Linked DNA regions of Drosophila melanogaster. The protein of the gene in region 3 purifies or fractionates together with the protein of the main gene of each other region. This does not show direct contact. Each region holds a gene or a part of one and is shown on either strand. Other genes may lie near its edges.

Region 1 (7,575 bases), on a different chromosome or scaffold from region 3:
CGAGCAGCGTGTTGGGTCTTTGCGCTTCTTCGTAGAAGGGAACTGGCTCCGCGGTCTGCAGCGCTGGTGGCAACTTATCGCCGCTACCCAAGGGGAATATGTAAAAGTCGCGTATCTGATCCGAGTCCACGCCCAGGACGCCCAGACGCTGACGCGAGTCCAGGTATTCGAAGAAGAGATCAAACTTATACGTTTCGCTGGGCGAGGCGGGGAATATGTTCACAATGACCACTTCCTTTGTGGGACTCTTCTTTAGCTTCTTGATATATTCCCAGACATTAACGCGGGTTATGCGACCGATTACGTCCATCTGACTTGGCATCAGGTTACCCAATTGATGGCAGTTACCCTGCACGGGGTACATGACGATTTCGAAGTCGGCCAAATCGATCATCTTGAGAGTACCGGACCACAGTGAACTCGTCGTCAGGCCGTGCAAGTAGCGGGAGTAGTTGTCCATTGGCTCAGGTGCCTTCAAAGAACTCGGAAGCGTTGGAAGTGGCTTGGGTGACGGCTTTGGTTTGCCTAGATTCGCCGCCTGCTCGACTGTTTTCTCCGATTCCAGAATTTGATCAACCAAGTTGTAAGCACTCGCCTCGGTTTTCTTTTCCGCCGTCTTTTTGGGTACCGGCGATTGGTCGTTTTCGTCCCTCTTCTTGGGCAAGGGTGATGGAACGATCTCATCCCTTTCCCGGCTCTGTTTCTCACGCGATCTATGCTCACGCTCCCCGCTGCCTGGCTGCTCTCCTCCTTCGTTGTGCTGCCTGCGATGGCGCTTATCGACGCTTCGACCCCGACTATTGGAACGACTTCGACTGCGCTTTCGATGATGATGCTTGTGGCTCTTGTGTCGCTTTTCCTTCGATGAACCCGCCTTTTCCCTGGACGTGGAACGTTCCAGTGTGGAGGTAGACGGCTCACTGACCAGCGACGTCTGTTTTGTGTCCGCCATAGATGATGCTTCACTAACGTTCTCTTCGGGCAGCGTAACATCCACTTTGGTGGCGATTACCTCCTCTCCCTTGTGTGTTTTCACCACATAGTTTTGGGCACATGCCAACAAGTCCAGCTCCGATTTCTTGATCATATCCAACTGGTGACGGTTTTCCTCCTCCCGCCACTTGGCCAACTCTTGGCTGGCCAGCTGTTCCGGCGTCATCCGCACCAACTGCCTGGGCTCCACTTGCTTGGCACAAATCTTTTCGAAAAGCGTTCGGTTCTTGCGATCCTTTATGTTGAACATAAGCGATCGATACTTGGCCTTGTACTTGGCTCCCACGTCTCGGCCAAACGAGTTGAACATTTCCAGCTCCACGTTCTTGACAAACTGATCCACCTCAAGTACGGTCGGCCACTGAGTCGTTGGCTGGCCAGAGTTCTCCTCGGCAGCCTGAGCTTCTTTGATTCGCGCTAGTAGTTGCTCCCTGAGTGATCGCCGGATGCCGATTCGAACCGGCTCGGGTTTGCCCGCTGCGATACGATTAGGGGTTGGCGCCTGTACTGTAGGTGTTGTCTTCTCTTTATCCTTTTTGGCCAAAGGACGCACGGAAGAGATTCCAAGTTGGTGGCTTGCCTGAACTGTGGTGTTTTGGGGATGGGACAATTTGGCAGGACCTTCAGGTGGCTTTTTTGCAACTCCTAGCACGGCGGGTTCTGAAGTTGAGGTGGCGGCTTCCGGTGCCCCTTTCAGCAAACGCTTCTCTGCGTCGGCTGACTGAACGGTTCCTGAGGGCAGCACCTCGAAGGAGGGATTCTCCTGAAGCCATTTCCGAAACTGATGTGCAGAAGGGGCCATGTGCCCGGTGATAACCCGACCACTTTTACGCTCAAACACATTAATCTGCAAAGCAAAGTGTGCACATTATTTGTTGTATAGTTCTAATTAAATTAACCTTTATTGCATACCCGTTCCACTTTTGACACAGTGTCCGCTTGCCTCAGCACGTCCTCAAACAAGTCCTTCTTCTTGTTCTTTTTGGCATCGAAGGAGTTGTTCAGCAAAGACTGAGCACCGGCATTCTGTGGCAATGGGCCTTTGGTAGCAGCATGTGCTTGAATTGCACTTTGGGCATACTTCCGGATGCACTCTTCGCCACAATAGACGGAAGAGGTGCTCGCCGGTCGCTTGCAGACCACACATAACGTCTCCGAAATTCGTTTGCCAGGTGATGGGCCCAGTCTGATAAAGTTCAGCTGCTGCTGCTGCTGGTGAGAGATTGCACCGGTTGGGAACTTTTTGGCCGGCTTTGCCATTGGAATACGCATGGGGGAACTGGCTACAGTTAAGACCACCGGTAGTGTTCTTCTGGGAGCCGAAGGAGCCGCGACCTGAACAATTTCTGCTGTCGTAGTTAGTACTTTGGTTTCACTCGGCCTCTGCTCAGGTTGAGTGGTTGGTCTGGTGACCAACATGTCTGTTATTCGTGGTTGGCTCTACAAAGATAACGAATCAATAAAAGGTAACTTTATGTCTATTGTATGACTTTACCCTCTCCTCCTGCCTTTTAACGCATTTGGGGCACTTCCAGTCGATGCCCTTGTTTTCCATATCTGTGCCCATCGCCTTGGTCACCCCCACGCATGTGCCGTGGAACCAATCCTCGCACAAATCGCAGCAGATCATGAAACGATTGTTGTGTGGCTGACGACAAATGCACCAGAGCCTAAACCAAAAAAAAAAAAAAAAAAACAAAAAAGGTTTTCAACAAACGCACAGATTTGCATCTATGAAATATCCAACTATAATCTTACTTGTTGGGGTCATCGTCATCCTCCTGAGACTCTGAAGCGTCGGGATCATTGTTCTGACTTGCATCAAGCTTCTTTGATCTTCTGGGTGCCGTTGAACGTCTGGCCATCGATGGCTCTCTAGGATTGGGTCGTTTCGGCCCACTTCCCGGCTGGCTGTCATTGCTCAGGCTGCTGGTATTGAGCGGCTGATTGATGCTCGCATCCAACGAAGATTCACCAAACGACAGGTTGCCTGCATCACTGGAACTGGTCGCAGCCATGCCCGGAGCTGAAGGAAACTGTGCTCGTCGCTTGGCCCGCGTGGTGGGGGCTTCAATGGGAGGCAGGTATATGACCCGACCGTAGCCGCGCACAACCTTCGCGGAGGTGGGCGGAGTGCTTGCTGCCACGCTCCTCGAGGGTGTACTGCAGGCAATCGGCAATGAGGTCATCGATTGTGCGGGCTCCGTAAGACTTGCATTCGGCAGTAGGTTCGTGTGTGCCTGTAAAGGAGCAATGCAGTTAGCTAGCAAAATCAATAACCAGGATATTCTACACTTGCCTGTACTTGCGGCACGTCTACGGGCTCAATGGACGTAGGCATAGATACGATGGCGTCCAGGGTTCCGGGCTCTGTACTAGCCAATACTTGCTTAACCACCTCGGCCTCAAACTGTTTGTCCTCCTCGATGAGACCGACCACGTGCTGGAGAAAATCAGCTGTAATCTCATCCTCATTCGCCGTATCCATTATATTATTCGGATCGGCTGCAGCTGCATTTCCCACTCCCTGCATCTCGGGAGCTGGAAAAATATTCGTAGGCAAGGACACTGGTGGCGGATCTAGATCCGCCGCTGTACTCTCCAGCATCTTAACCAGTTTCGGTATATCCTCGTCCGCATTTACTACCGGCTGCTCCACAAGCGTGGACTTAAGTAGCTCGTCCTGCACAATCGAGTTGATCAGATCGAGCTGCTTGTCATTTTCTGCTGCCAGCTCGGAGGAACTCTGGTGCGTCTCGATTACTATTTGGGCGGGCAGTTTATGCGACTGAGCTGTGTCCACGCCGATGGGCATGAAGCCCTTGGATGGGGTATGTGCCTGAGCAGGAACCGGAACCACAATTGGCGACATCTGCTGATTGTAGCTCGATCTCGGCGTGCTTGGCGACATGACGGCCCGGTGTCGGAGTGGAACTGGCGAAGATTTTGTGGCTGCATTGTTGTCCTCACCCAGCAAAGTGTTGAGATTGGTAAACACTCCTTTGGGACTGGCCATATTCTTGTTGATAATAATCTCTTTAACTTCCTGCGGCGAGTTTACGATCCTTCCCAATTGCACGGCAGGCATACGACGAACATTGGAATTGGCCGGTGTCGTTGGCAGTGGAGGTCTCTTCACAGGCAGCGATTGATGTGTGGGCCGGATTTTGAGAAACGATGTGCTTGGAAGACCTCTGCCTAGGGCAAACACTGCGGGCACTGATTTTGTGGCAGGCATCTGGATTATTTGCCCAATTTGCGGCGCCTTCGGCTCCAAAACTTCCTTGCGTTTCTTCAGCTCGGGGAAGTGCTGCGGCGTTGTGGGTGGCGGAGGCAGCGGCTTCATTGGTTTGCTGGGAGTCTGCCTAACCACCTTTCTAACCCGCTTCCTCTTATTCGGATTACGTCTATTGCTATGCCTCATATCGAAGTCCATGTCACTGTCCCTGTCGTTGTCCGATTCCTGGAACTCATCGCTCTCCTCACTCATTTCCTCCGAATCATAGGCCTTGTCGGCATTTTCCTCTTCGGCGGAATCCGAGCTTTGGGCGTCATCATCATCTTCGATGTATTCCTGCACAGGCGGAGCAATCACTTTGACTGGAGCACGAGTGGGCCTCAGCCTGGCATTGACCGAATTGTTCGCGATAATCTCTGGCTTCTGTCTTGGCAGTGGCGAATGGATGGGCTTGCGGATCAGCTGCACTTTCGGTTGCAGCTGCGCTGCCTGCTGAACTTGGTGGGGCTTGACTGGCAGTCTCTGGACCTTGACCTGCACCGGGCTTAAGGGTATGGCCTGGACTCGTTTTTTGGCATTGATTAGCTTGACACTGCCCGGTGCCTGCATTATGATTTTGCGGCTTTGGGCCTGCATTTCCATGGCCATCTTCTCATCGCGCTTGTGGTTCTTCAGCTGCTCTGGCGAGGTAAACGGTGTGTAGTTGTGGTCATTTCGAATAACTTCCATAAGAGCGTCTGTCTCCGCAGTCCTTTTGTAGACGGAAACTCCGGCAAGCTCTGTAAATAGAATACAAATTAGTTGAAAGCTAAAGTTCGTTTACTTTCGTTGTGCTCGAAATAATGATGTTGTTTTGCTTTATCATTTGGACCACATCGATGTACGTTATTTACTCAGTGCATTTTTCACAACCATATCAGCCGTGTTGTCCGCATAAAACTGCTCCACTCGCAAACCCACAATTTGTGGACGCTCCTTGGGTTTGCGTCGCTTTCGCTTTTTGATGGCCTTGGGCTTTCGGCCAACTCGCTTGCGTGTGCGCGGGGCATCGGCTTCCGTCTCCGTGGAGTCGCTATTGTTGTCGTCACCGGTGTTATGGTTCTCCTCGTCGTGTTCATCCATCTCACTGGCATTATCGCCACCACTTTGGCTGCCATTGTCACTGTCCAGCTCCGAGTCGGTGGCAGTTTCCATAAAGTTCGCCAGCTCCTCCAGCCGTTCGTCTTCCTCTTGGTCCACCATGCTCGGCGTGGGCGATGTAATCCGCACCACGCTAATGGTGGAAATCGATTTTTCCTCTGCAACAAGCCCATGTCAGTGTGGGGAGCAATGAGCGTGTGTCAGGCCTATTGGACCCACTTACCCATGATGTTCCCAATCGCACGCTCGTCGAAGGAGATTCCGCTCTTGCTGTAGACCACAACCAGATTGGAGTCGGCTTCGGCTGCCGCCGGCCGGGCGCTGGGCGCCTCCGTAAACACCGAACTGGACATGACGCCAACTGCTCGTGATCCCCGCTAGCGGCGCATTGGAGTCGGCGGCCCACACAGCGTGTACTTAATTAGCTTGGAACAGAACAACGACTCATTTGTTGTTGCATCCGCCGCGTTGTGACGCCGACATTGAAATTGGATAGTAGGTGGAAAACGGTCACTGGGCTGCGTTCGCCCTATACTTAATACTGGTGATGCTCTGCTGGCTGCGCCCACAAGCTGGCTGTTATATTGTTGAGATTCGAGAGCTTAATCCGTTGCTGTTTCGCTTTAAAATGCAAATTTTTCTCAATTATGAAAATAAAATTTGCAAAAAAAGCCACTTCCAGTGTGACCAGACTTGGGAATGATGCCGATGCTGTAGGTTATCGATAGTTTCTGTGCCTCGCTCTGCGGAACTAGTTTCAATTGCTAGCTCATTTGAACAAAATGTTAATCTGTGTTTATTTAGGGAAATCCTTTATTTTCAAGGTCGGCTGCCAAAAAGGAAAACCGTATGATAAATAAATGAATTGAGCTAATTAAAAATATTAAAGAATATATTTAAAAAAATAAAATTCCCGATCGATGAATTGTAATTTAAGCTTGTTTTTTTTCGCGTTCAGTTCTCGGTCATACTTTTGCGAAAACAGAAAACAAAAAACACTGATAAAACCCACATAATTTACTGCCTTTGTTAGCCCGGTTATTGGCTATTATCAGCTAATCTCACTTGCTCGAGCACTCATTGTTGTCCAGAGCGCCAGTTAAACTTTGTCCTCCGTCGCAACACCATGGCCGCCTTTCAGATGGGATCGGGTTACGCAGTGCCCATGACCCTCTTCCGGAACAACAGGGATCGTGCTGGCAAGGCCATCCTTAAGGAGCTGCTGCCGGGCCTCAAGTTCAACGACGGCAACCTGCTGGTGCTCCTCGAGGGCGGCAAGGACCAGAGCCTGTACAACACCGACGTGGACTACGTTTTCCGGCAGGAGTCCTATTTCCAGTACTTGTTCGGTGTCAAGGAGCCGGGCTGCTACGGCATCCTAACCATTGATGTGAAAACTGGTGCACAGAAAAGTGTTCTCTTTGTTCCTCGCTTTCCCGATGAGTACGGCACCTGGATGGGCGAACTGCTTGGGCTGCAGGAGTTCAAGGCCATGTACGAGGTGGACGAGGTGTTTTATGTTGACGAAATGAGTGTTTATCTGGAGGGGGCGTCGCCCAAGCTGATACTCACATTGAGTGGCACCAACAGCGATAGCGGGCTCACCCTTCAGCCGCCCGACTTTGCTGGCAAGGAGAAGTATGTGACTGACTGCAATCTGCTGTATCCAATTCTCTCTGAGTGCCGAGTGATCAAGTCACCCGAAGAGATCGAGGTGCTGCGCTACGTGGCCAAGGTATCCTCGGACGCGCACATCAAGGTGATGCGGTTTATGCGTCCCGGTAGAATGGAATTTGAGGGCGAATCCCTGTTCCTGCACCACGCCTACTCCGTGGGCGGCTGCCGGCATGCCTCCTACACCTGCATATGCGGCAGCGGAACGAACTCGTCGATCTTGCACTATGGACACGCGGGCGCACCCAACAGCAAGCCCGTCCAGGATGGTGATCTCTGCCTGTTCGATATGGGAGCCAACTATTGTGGCTATGCGGCCGACATAACCTGCACATTCCCGGCCAATGGAAAGTTCACCGACGACCAGAAGTTCATCTACAATGCCGTGCTGGATGCCCGCAATGCGGTCACAGAGTCAGCCCGTGACGGAGTCTCCTGGGTGGACATGCACAAGCTGGCGGGCAGGGTGTTGCTGCAGCGCCTGAAGGAGGGCGGCATGCTCAAGGGCGATGTGGAGGAGATGCTCGAGG
Region 2 (4,734 bases), on a different chromosome or scaffold from region 3:
TTTGCTTAACTACATTCCAGTCGGCAGGAATAATATGGCCGAACTTTCCGACCGCAAAGTCGCTCGTTTGGGTGTTTATTAAATAGTGGTGCATTTCCATAATGTTTGCATTAAATGGCGCATAATCAGATAATTTAATAATCGCAAATTGGGCGTATTTGATGTTGAATTTTCAGTGACAATAGATTGAGAGTTCGATTTTGTTGAAACTAATCAATCATGAATATTCTATGAATATTTTATTCAATTTAGTCATTCTCTTTAATATTTATTGTTTAGTTTATAAGCAAATACACAGAGGCTTGAACCATACCCCGCACCGCACAAATTACCGTCGTTTAATGAGCTAATCAAATCAGGAAACAACGGTGAAATCAACTGTGAAATTTATGACAGTTTTCCGCTTCGCCTCGAATTAAGGATAACGAAAGGCAGTGGGGATGGGGAGTGGAGAAAGTGCCCGGCGTATCTCCGACTTTATTTAACTAATTTTGCATTTTCAACTCAAACTCGACTTTGGTCACGTATCCCTGCGGCTGGAACTTTGACCTGTTAAGCGCATAAAAATGACAAAAACGGTACGTGACTCATTAGCCGCTTTCGCCCAGGAAATGCCGCCGGGAGAAAGTGAGCGGGGAAAGCTGGCTTGGGCAGTTCAGCAGTTCAGCAGTTCATGAGCTTCGGCAAGGAAACCGGACTTTGGCAGCGCAATTAGTTCGGCAAGCTGCTCGGAGCGAGGCACATACGATCCTGTTTTGTGTATATGGCAACATATGCCCTGGCAGCAGCACATCCTTATCCCTGCCCCATTCGCAGGACTCCGGCTGGCTGAGCTCATGCGTTTTCATTTCCATTTCGGGCCCATAAAAACGGCAAAACGGAAAAACGAGAAAAGGCCGAGAGGCCGACCCAAAAAGAAGTAAATTGCAATGCAAATTTAATTTGGCTGCCATAAAACTCGACGAAAGAAAAACGGGCGGTGTTTTGCTTTTCGCCCGGCGAGGGGCGAGGGGGGCCAGACAGTCGTAAAACAGCGGCGGGAAAATCGAAGACTTTCTGCGGGGTTTGGGGTGGGGTAGCGGTAGTGGGGAATACGGGTGGAAGTGCGTGGCCGCCGCGCCAAGCCGGAAATGCAATTTGTAATTTTGTGCAACGATTTGTGGCAATTAATTGCTGCCCCACCACTTGCACCACCCGCCCCATGCGGCACCACCCAACTTTCGCCCAGTGCGCGCCAGACCGCAAGACACGGAAACCTCAATATTTATTTTTTGTTTCGCCTTCTTCTCGATGTTTTTTTTGTTTTTTTTTTTTTTTGGTCTGATACTTGTTTTTTTGCCTCTGCATTTGTTGGCGGCACAGAATTTATTGCATTTAATTTTTTTGCCATTTCTCTTCGAGTGTGGGGATTTTTTGGCATAGCTCGGCATCGAGTATTTAAGTGATTTCTGCTTAATAATAATTTAATTCCCAGCTTTTTTTATACGCCATGCCATTTGAAATCTTTTGTGATAATTTGCGCCGAAATCAAACAGCTGCAAAATTTGTATTTTTTGTTGGCTTTCCCCCGGCAACGTCGCCTATAGAAAGTGTGGCCGAACATATACATACATATGTATATGTGTATATAATCGCCTATATGTCCGTCTATATCTGTGCCGCGGTGTGTGTGATGTATAATGTATGGGAAGATTTATAATATTCGTGGGACCGTATAAACAATTCGCTAAGACGCACATAGAGAAATGGCACTTGGTATAAATAATGTATAGCCAGAGTTCGCCATGTTTTGGCCAATTTCACAAGCGAGGAGACCAGTACGGCAGAAGATCCCTTCAGAATATGAGAATAATGATTTATAGTCTTTCATAAGCCAAACGATCGGGGGTGGCCAACTATTGAGGAAATCATTCAGTTTTGGGCGGATTCTTTGGTTTAAACTTGTAGTTCCGTAAGAATATTTTCGGAAATATGTAAAATGGAATGTCATTTACTTTCGCAAAAATATGCGATGTTTTTATATAAATTCAATGCAAAAACAAGATGTTGTTTTGCGGCATATATCCCCCCACCAAAAGCTTGGTAAACAATACTTGAATCGAAAATATTTTTATAAAAATTTCCATGCTTAATAAATTTTAACGAACTGTTCTTTAAGTTGATTGCGAATATGCACTTAACATTAAAGCTTTTGGAAATAGTTTCCATTAAGAATTTCCCAAGTTCCCGAATTTTTATAGCTTCTTGAACGGTTTTCAAATTCAGAATACATATTGATTTTCATGGCTATTCGAATTATGTTTGTACTCAGCACACGCACAATAAGTTAGTTAATGGATAATGGCGGCTATTAGATGGATCCATGGGTCAGAGTTCACTCACCTCAGTGATCTTCATGGTGCGCTTCACCGTTTTGCGGGTAACTTCGGTGGTTTCCTCCACGACATCGCCATCCTCATCGATGGTCTCCGTTACCATTTTCTCGGTCTCGCCGGGAATCACCTCCTCGGTGTGCTCGGTGACCACGCTGGTTTTGCTCTGGGCATCGGGTTCGGGCTTGGTCTCCTCGGCGGAGCCACCGAAAACATCCTCAATGTCCGACATTGTCTCTGATTTATATCCTTTTCGATTGGAGTCGAGCTGATTCACTTGGCTTTCTCTCACGTTCTTGTGTTCACTTTCACTTGATCACTGGATCACTGATCACAACGATAACACATAACACGCAGAATTGCTTGGGTTTTCTTCTTTCTTATTTTCTTTCTTTTAGCCTGAAAAATACAAACGACCAGAGCTAGAAAAATGAATATTTTTTGTATATTCCGCTGGGCTTTTGGCAGCCGCTGGTTATTATATAAACAAGAGGAATTTCACGGCGCGCTGGTTTTTTAGTAACTTGTTTTCGACCTAAGGGCGGTATATTTAGAGGTACTGTAGATCCTTCGTGGTTTACGCAGATGCCTGGAGCCTTCGATCCTCTCGGGAAGTGCTCGATTATCGAACTGTAAAAACGTAACGTCGACCAGCGGCCACGAAAGGCGCGACAACAACGGAGAACGGAGAATTACGGAACAATGGGACTACGGAAGAACGGAACAATGGGACAACGGAATAACGTAGAGCCGTGGTGACAAAAGGCGGATAAAGCGAAACAAGTTGAAAGATGGAGCTATCGAAATCCCATCACATCACTTCAGCCTGTTTCGAAAACAAATCCGGAATAATTACGGAACAACGGAACGCACACGAGGCGAATTACACGATCACGGGTCTTCTACTTGCTGCCTCCGTCCTAGCTTCTTCTAATTCTTCTAGTTAGAATCTTCTGCCGTCTGCCACCGGAACCGACGCCGGAGAGCAGAGCGAGACGGTCTGAGTTCCGGAGGGTCTAGTGGGGCAGAGGCCCCCAATGTGTTAGCCGCAGGTGCGAGCGGGACGGCCCGAGACCCCCAGCGCTCGGGAGAGCGCCAGCAATTCTCCACACTCTCTCCTCCACTCTCACTCTCAGTTCTCTGCCGATCTGCTGCCGCTGCTGACGTCTGCTCAATTTTGAACGTTGATCTTCGTCGCGTTTCAAAAGTTTTTTGTTGCCTTCGTTCCGATCTTTTCTACACTGTGTGCCTCTACACTGAGAGAAAATCCTACCAAATTGGATTTACATTTAGAAAGCTTTATTTGGTAAAAAGAGGAAACTATCTGACAATATTTCGTATGTTAAAAAGTAAAAGTACAAGGCTGTGATCCCACATGTATCCTAATCCTTCCGAAATTGAACTCCAGAGTTCTATAAAATATCAAAATATCTGCAATGAAGTAAGAAGTGAGTTAACCATTTTTCTGAGTGCAGTATTTCTGTTCTTTCTTTGAGCAAATGTGAAATTTGAATGCGAATGAGTTCGCTCGCTAATTGTCCGCCTGTTGCAATTTCTTCGTTTGACCAGGCGAATGCAATTAGTGCGGCTGCCGGACGTCTGAGGCCCGTCAGAATGTGAAACTCCGCCGTGAAGTGCCAACACTCCTCATTCGCCATCTCATATGGTCTGTACTCCCCTTACTCCGCATACCCCCTACTCTCCATACTCCCCGTCAAAGACCCACGCACTCTTCTCGTCAATGTGCGTGGAGCTATTTTGGGTGGATTTAACAATAGACAGAAAAAAGAGGCAGCCAAGGATGAAGATAGTGATATCTTCCGACTTTGGAATACCTAAAAAAGAGATTTTGATAGTAAGAATAGAGTTTTACAATAAGAATTATAGAATGTTTATTCAAGAAGTAAAAATATCTTATAAACTTGAATTTAGATAGATTTTAAAATTAATTTACAAACCAATTTGTCCACTCTATCAGAGGGACTTACTATCCCCATAAGCCCGTGTTGCATTTCCCTTTTTCCAACATTTTTTTTCCAATAAGCCCAGACATCTCATCGATACCCTCTGTGGGCAAACAACTCTGAATCGGGTGGAATACATTGGGCTGATCCGGCTGGCCATTTGGCCGGGCGGCATTTGACGCCGTCTTTTCCTTTTTCATGCGCTTTTCTTTTTTTTTCCTTTATTTTCCGTTCGTTTTTTTCCCTTTTTCCTTTGCCGTGGCCAGCGTTCGATGTGCGAGTGGAGGCAGTGCATCACAGCCAGCGGGGCCTGTACAGGGTGCCTTGTGGCAGGGGCATCTGTCGGAAGATGCCCATCTCAAGTGATTTCACCTTCTGCCTTCTGTCCGATTTCTGAT
Region 3 (4,084 bases):
TTTGGCTCTATTCGCTTTCGTTTTCTCTTCCTAGGCACTCGATTTGTCTTCTGATTGTGATTTTCCAACTGGCCGTGCGCTGCACCTTGCGTATTTTCCGATGTCCGTGCGAACTAGACGACGACCCATACAAAAATAGCTGCCGCGTTATCTCGCGCAGTTTTCATTCTCTGCTCGCTCCCTCTCTCGCTCTCGCATGCGCAACGTGGGCAACTAGAACGGAAGGGAAGTCGGCGTGTGCGAGAGTGTGTGTGCGTGTGACCAGCTGAGAGGGTGCAACTGCGCATGCGACAACTTTACTGTTACTTTCGCCATGTGGCAACTCTGCAGGCGATCGCTTTTTAAGTAGAGTAAGATTAATGAGAACATACATATGTATGTATGTATTTTGTTTTCAGTTTAAGAATGAATTGATTTCACAAGATCTGCAACTAACTGCACTGTAAAATATAACTATAAAGTCTTTGCGAATTGTAATCAATATTTAATTTAAATTAATCGAACCACCACCAATTGGAAACCCACGAGTCCATACATTTCGAAAATAATCTTTATTTTAACGCTTTTCTCCGGCTAATTTGTTTAACCGAATTTGGTGAAGTGTCGCAGGATGTGCGACATGGCCGCGGGATTATCGGCAGGAACCATGTGACCAGCCCGGTTGACCCAAAACATGCTGAAGTTGCCATAGGTCTTCTCGTAACCCTCGAGAACTCGATCTACGGTGATTCCCACGCGCGGAGAGACCTGGTAAGATGGCTTGGCGGACCATTCCATTGCTTCGATCCAGTTGACGGCTCCCGGAGTGGCGCAAATCAGGTCCAGTCCTCCGGAGAACACGCCCACTTTTACGGTGGTGTTGTTCAGCAGTTCACCCACTAAAAGTGTCATAAGGCTATAATTTGAGGTAGCACCCAGACGGTTGAAACATACCAACATCCACAGCTGGCTTCATGAAATCGCCCATCAGCTTGGTGAAGGTGGTGCCGCTCTGGGCGCCCCATTTCACTCCGGTGTTGATTCCGAGGGCCTCGGTCACGGGTCCAAGCATTAGATCCTCCAGCAATTTGTCGCGGTCCTCATCCACATCGAATTTCACGAGGGTGCGATACATGACCTCTGGATAAGTGGTTGATGAGAATCAGCTCGGTAAGTTACGCAACGGATCTTACCCTCCGGAGTCATGGCAGCTCTGGACATCAACCTGTACTGATCACCCAATGTTGGGGTCTCCACGTTATAGAAGTCCACTCCCTTGGACTCGCGCAGCACCACTGACTGGGTGGAGCTCCACTGCAAAGTGGCCTGTGTCCACTTCTCGCGGTCAACATAGTCCTTAGTCTTCAGGGCCGAAGCTTCAATCTTGTCATGGCCATCCTGATCCACGATTCCCAACTGCAGCAGGAAGGGAGCCCACGAGAGCACAGAGTCTATGGGTGAGGTCCAGGGATCTCCCAAGGCCACCGAAACAAAGTTGCTCTCGATCTCACCGCGCTTGATGGCGTAATCCAACTCCAAAGCGAACTCCGGGGCCATCTTTCCGCCATAACTCTCGCAGAAGATGTGCAGCGGCACAGTCTTGAATTCCGGGTGGTTTGTGTAGAAGCCCTTCATCAGCTCAACGAGATCCAGGGCGATCTGCTTGTTGTTGGTCGTGTAGTAAGAAGATCCGTCCACGTAGCTGAAACCACTGCCCACGGGATTGTCGATGAACATCACGTTCATGTCCTTCACCCAAGTCCAGTCGCGGTAGCTGCCGTCGAGCTTCAGGGGACCCAACTCCTCAAAGTTTCCGTATCCCGTTGAGGAGGCACCTGGACCTCCTTGGAGCCAAATGGCCAGCGGACGCTCCGTGTAACTGGAGACATTGGCGGTGGTGTAGTACAGCCAGTAGAACATGTGGGCGCCAGTCCTGACATCCACAAATCCCCAATCCTGATCACCGGGTCCATAGCCCTTGCGTGCTGAGAGTATATTGAATTATAGCTCATTTCGATTAAATAGTTATTAATATACAAAGCTCTTTGATTTTGTAATTTCATGATAGCCCCTGATTTCTAGGGAACACTTGAGAAATCTAGCCTTTAAGTATATTAAACGGCTGCACGAGTAGCCATTTAGATAAGATTAATTGTTATAGATAGTGTAGATAGTTGATTGTATTGTCTTATAACAAACCGAATAGCGGTTGGTCACTGTATCTTTTACAATGGTAATAAGGTCTGTCCCCAAACGATTCATAAGTATTTCAATCTACGGATATAAAAGTAGGTAAAAAAGTCTGTAACAGATAATTCTGTTGGCCTGTTCTACAAGTCGTAAAGAACCGTTTGTTTTGGAACACTTTCTCACTGATTAGCACCCCTAATTGGAATACAAATCACGATTCTCACCGTCAACGGAAGCCAAGCCGGCAAATCCCAGTAGGGCCAAAAGTGCGATGATAGCGCGTCCAGCCATGTTGCACCAGTGTTTCAGTTCCAATTCCAAGAGACACCGATCGAGAGACAACCGCACACTTGGCAGTTCCACTGCCAATTGATCGCTGGTTGCTCCCAGACATCGAAGGTAAAATAGCAACAGCCAGCACCTGACACACCTGGAATTCGTAATCTGCGGGCAGGGGAACTGTGTTTGCAGAGTATTTATGGCCCTTCGCTGGACGGTGACGCGGCTTTTTGGTCAATCTGTGCTTGTCACTCGTCCGATTTGCCGAATCTTTGTGTCATATATTTAGATAGAGCCTATGAAGCTCCAAAATCATCGCAAAGATTGCACTTTGCTATCTTGAGTGGGTTTTCCGAGGGCTTTTCCTATTATTTTTCGGTATCACTTGCGGTTTATCCCACGTGACATGCGTGAAAGATATCTAAGGTGTCTCCCAAAAACTCTTTTTAAATCATCAGCATTCTTTGATTGATTGACTATATTATTTTTAGGTGTTCATATAATCATATATGCATCAATTCTGGGCATTGCTTTTTAAAGAGCAGATTAAGACATACATTTGACATTTATCAAAATAACTAATAGGATAACTTCCCCAGCTTCTATAAGCAAAAAATCCATTACGATTTACATTATATACTTTCAGTAAAACACTCCTCTATTTTTAGACGAATATAGTATACAACTGGCTTGCATACTGAGTTTATTATAATTCAATTTAAATGAATTTAGCCAAATGAGGTAAACTCTCGAAGTACATGACTCATAGCCGCAGGGTTGTCCGCCGGAGCCATGTGACCACTTCGGTTGATCCAGAACATGGTAAAGTTACCGCCCGTCTTTTGATAGCCCTCCAAGATGCGATCCACCGTGATGCCATTGCGTGGAGCAGCCAGGTACTCGTCCTTTCGGCTCCAGTCCAGCTTGGCTATCCAGTTGACGGTGCCCGGTGTGGCGCAAATCAAATCCAGGCCACCGGAGAATACGCCGACCTTCAGAGGAGTCTTCTCCAGCAATTCGTTCACTGTCATTCAATGGATGTCAGACGCTTTCGTTATATAAGAAGTAATATCCCTACCAATGTGGATGACTGGCTTCATGAAGTCCGTTCTGTGGATGTCAAAAGTGGTCCCACTCTGCGATCCCCAGATGACATTCGAAGGTATACCCAGGGTTTCCGCCACCGGGCCCCGCATCAGATCCTCCAGTAACTTGGTTCGATCCTCATCAATATCGTATTTCACCATGGTGCGATACAGACGTTCTGCAGGGAAATATCATGGTTTGAAAAATATCGTATCGAAGTATTTGGTTCACCTTCGGAGGTCAAGGCCTTTGATCTCTGGTAGAGACCACCCTTTGTCTCCTTCAGCACGTTGTAGAAGTCCACACCCTTGGAGGCTTTCATCACCTCCCACTGGGTGTTGCCCCACTGATAGGTGGCCTGAATCCATCGCTCCTCCTCCACCAACTGAGCCGTGAAGTTCGCTGCCTCTTGAATGGCATTGTATCCCGCGTGGTCCACGATTCCCATTTCTCTGAGAAAAGGTCCCCATGCGAGCACGGAGTCGATGGGCGAGGTCCATGGATCCCCCAAAGCCACCGAGGTAAGGTTGCTCTTGACCTCACCACGCTT

What was found. The genes of interacting proteins can lie anywhere in the genome.
Region 1: the proteins of hiro (region 3) and pps purify together in Drosophila melanogaster (affinity purification with mass spectrometry, with the first as the bait; one large-scale study listed by BioGRID). This does not show direct contact.
Region 2: the proteins of hiro (region 3) and tmod purify together in Drosophila melanogaster (affinity purification with mass spectrometry, with the first as the bait; one large-scale study listed by BioGRID). This does not show direct contact.

The regions. Positions count from the first base shown.
Region 1 is NT_033777.3:12,412,306-12,419,880, reverse strand, and holds the start of pps (protein partner of snf), read right to left. Parts: upstream 6,054-7,575; 5' UTR 5,725-6,053; coding exon 5,595-5,724; intron 5,530-5,594; coding exon 5,125-5,529; intron 5,011-5,124; coding exon 3,293-5,010; intron 3,234-3,292; coding exon 2,752-3,233; intron 2,664-2,751; coding exon 2,489-2,663; intron 2,434-2,488; coding exon 1,906-2,433; intron 1,841-1,905; coding exon 1-1,840. Other genes in the region: Dip-C (dipeptidase C), read left to right, coding at 6,498-7,575.
Region 2 is NT_033777.3:30,531,156-30,535,889, reverse strand, and holds the start of tmod (tropomodulin), read right to left. Parts: upstream 3,054-4,734; 5' UTR 2,908-3,053; exon of another isoform or gene 2,795-2,907; 5' UTR 2,605-2,794; coding exon 2,383-2,604; intron 1-2,382.
Region 3 is NT_037436.4:685,409-689,492, forward strand, and holds hiro (highroad), read right to left. Parts: upstream 2,551-4,084; 5' UTR 2,461-2,550; coding exon 2,394-2,460; intron 1,965-2,393; coding exon 1,173-1,964; intron 1,120-1,172; coding exon 934-1,119; intron 879-933; coding exon 583-878; 3' UTR 534-582; downstream 1-533. Other genes in the region: CG32483 (uncharacterized protein), read right to left, coding at 3,177-3,472, 3,527-3,712, 3,766-4,084.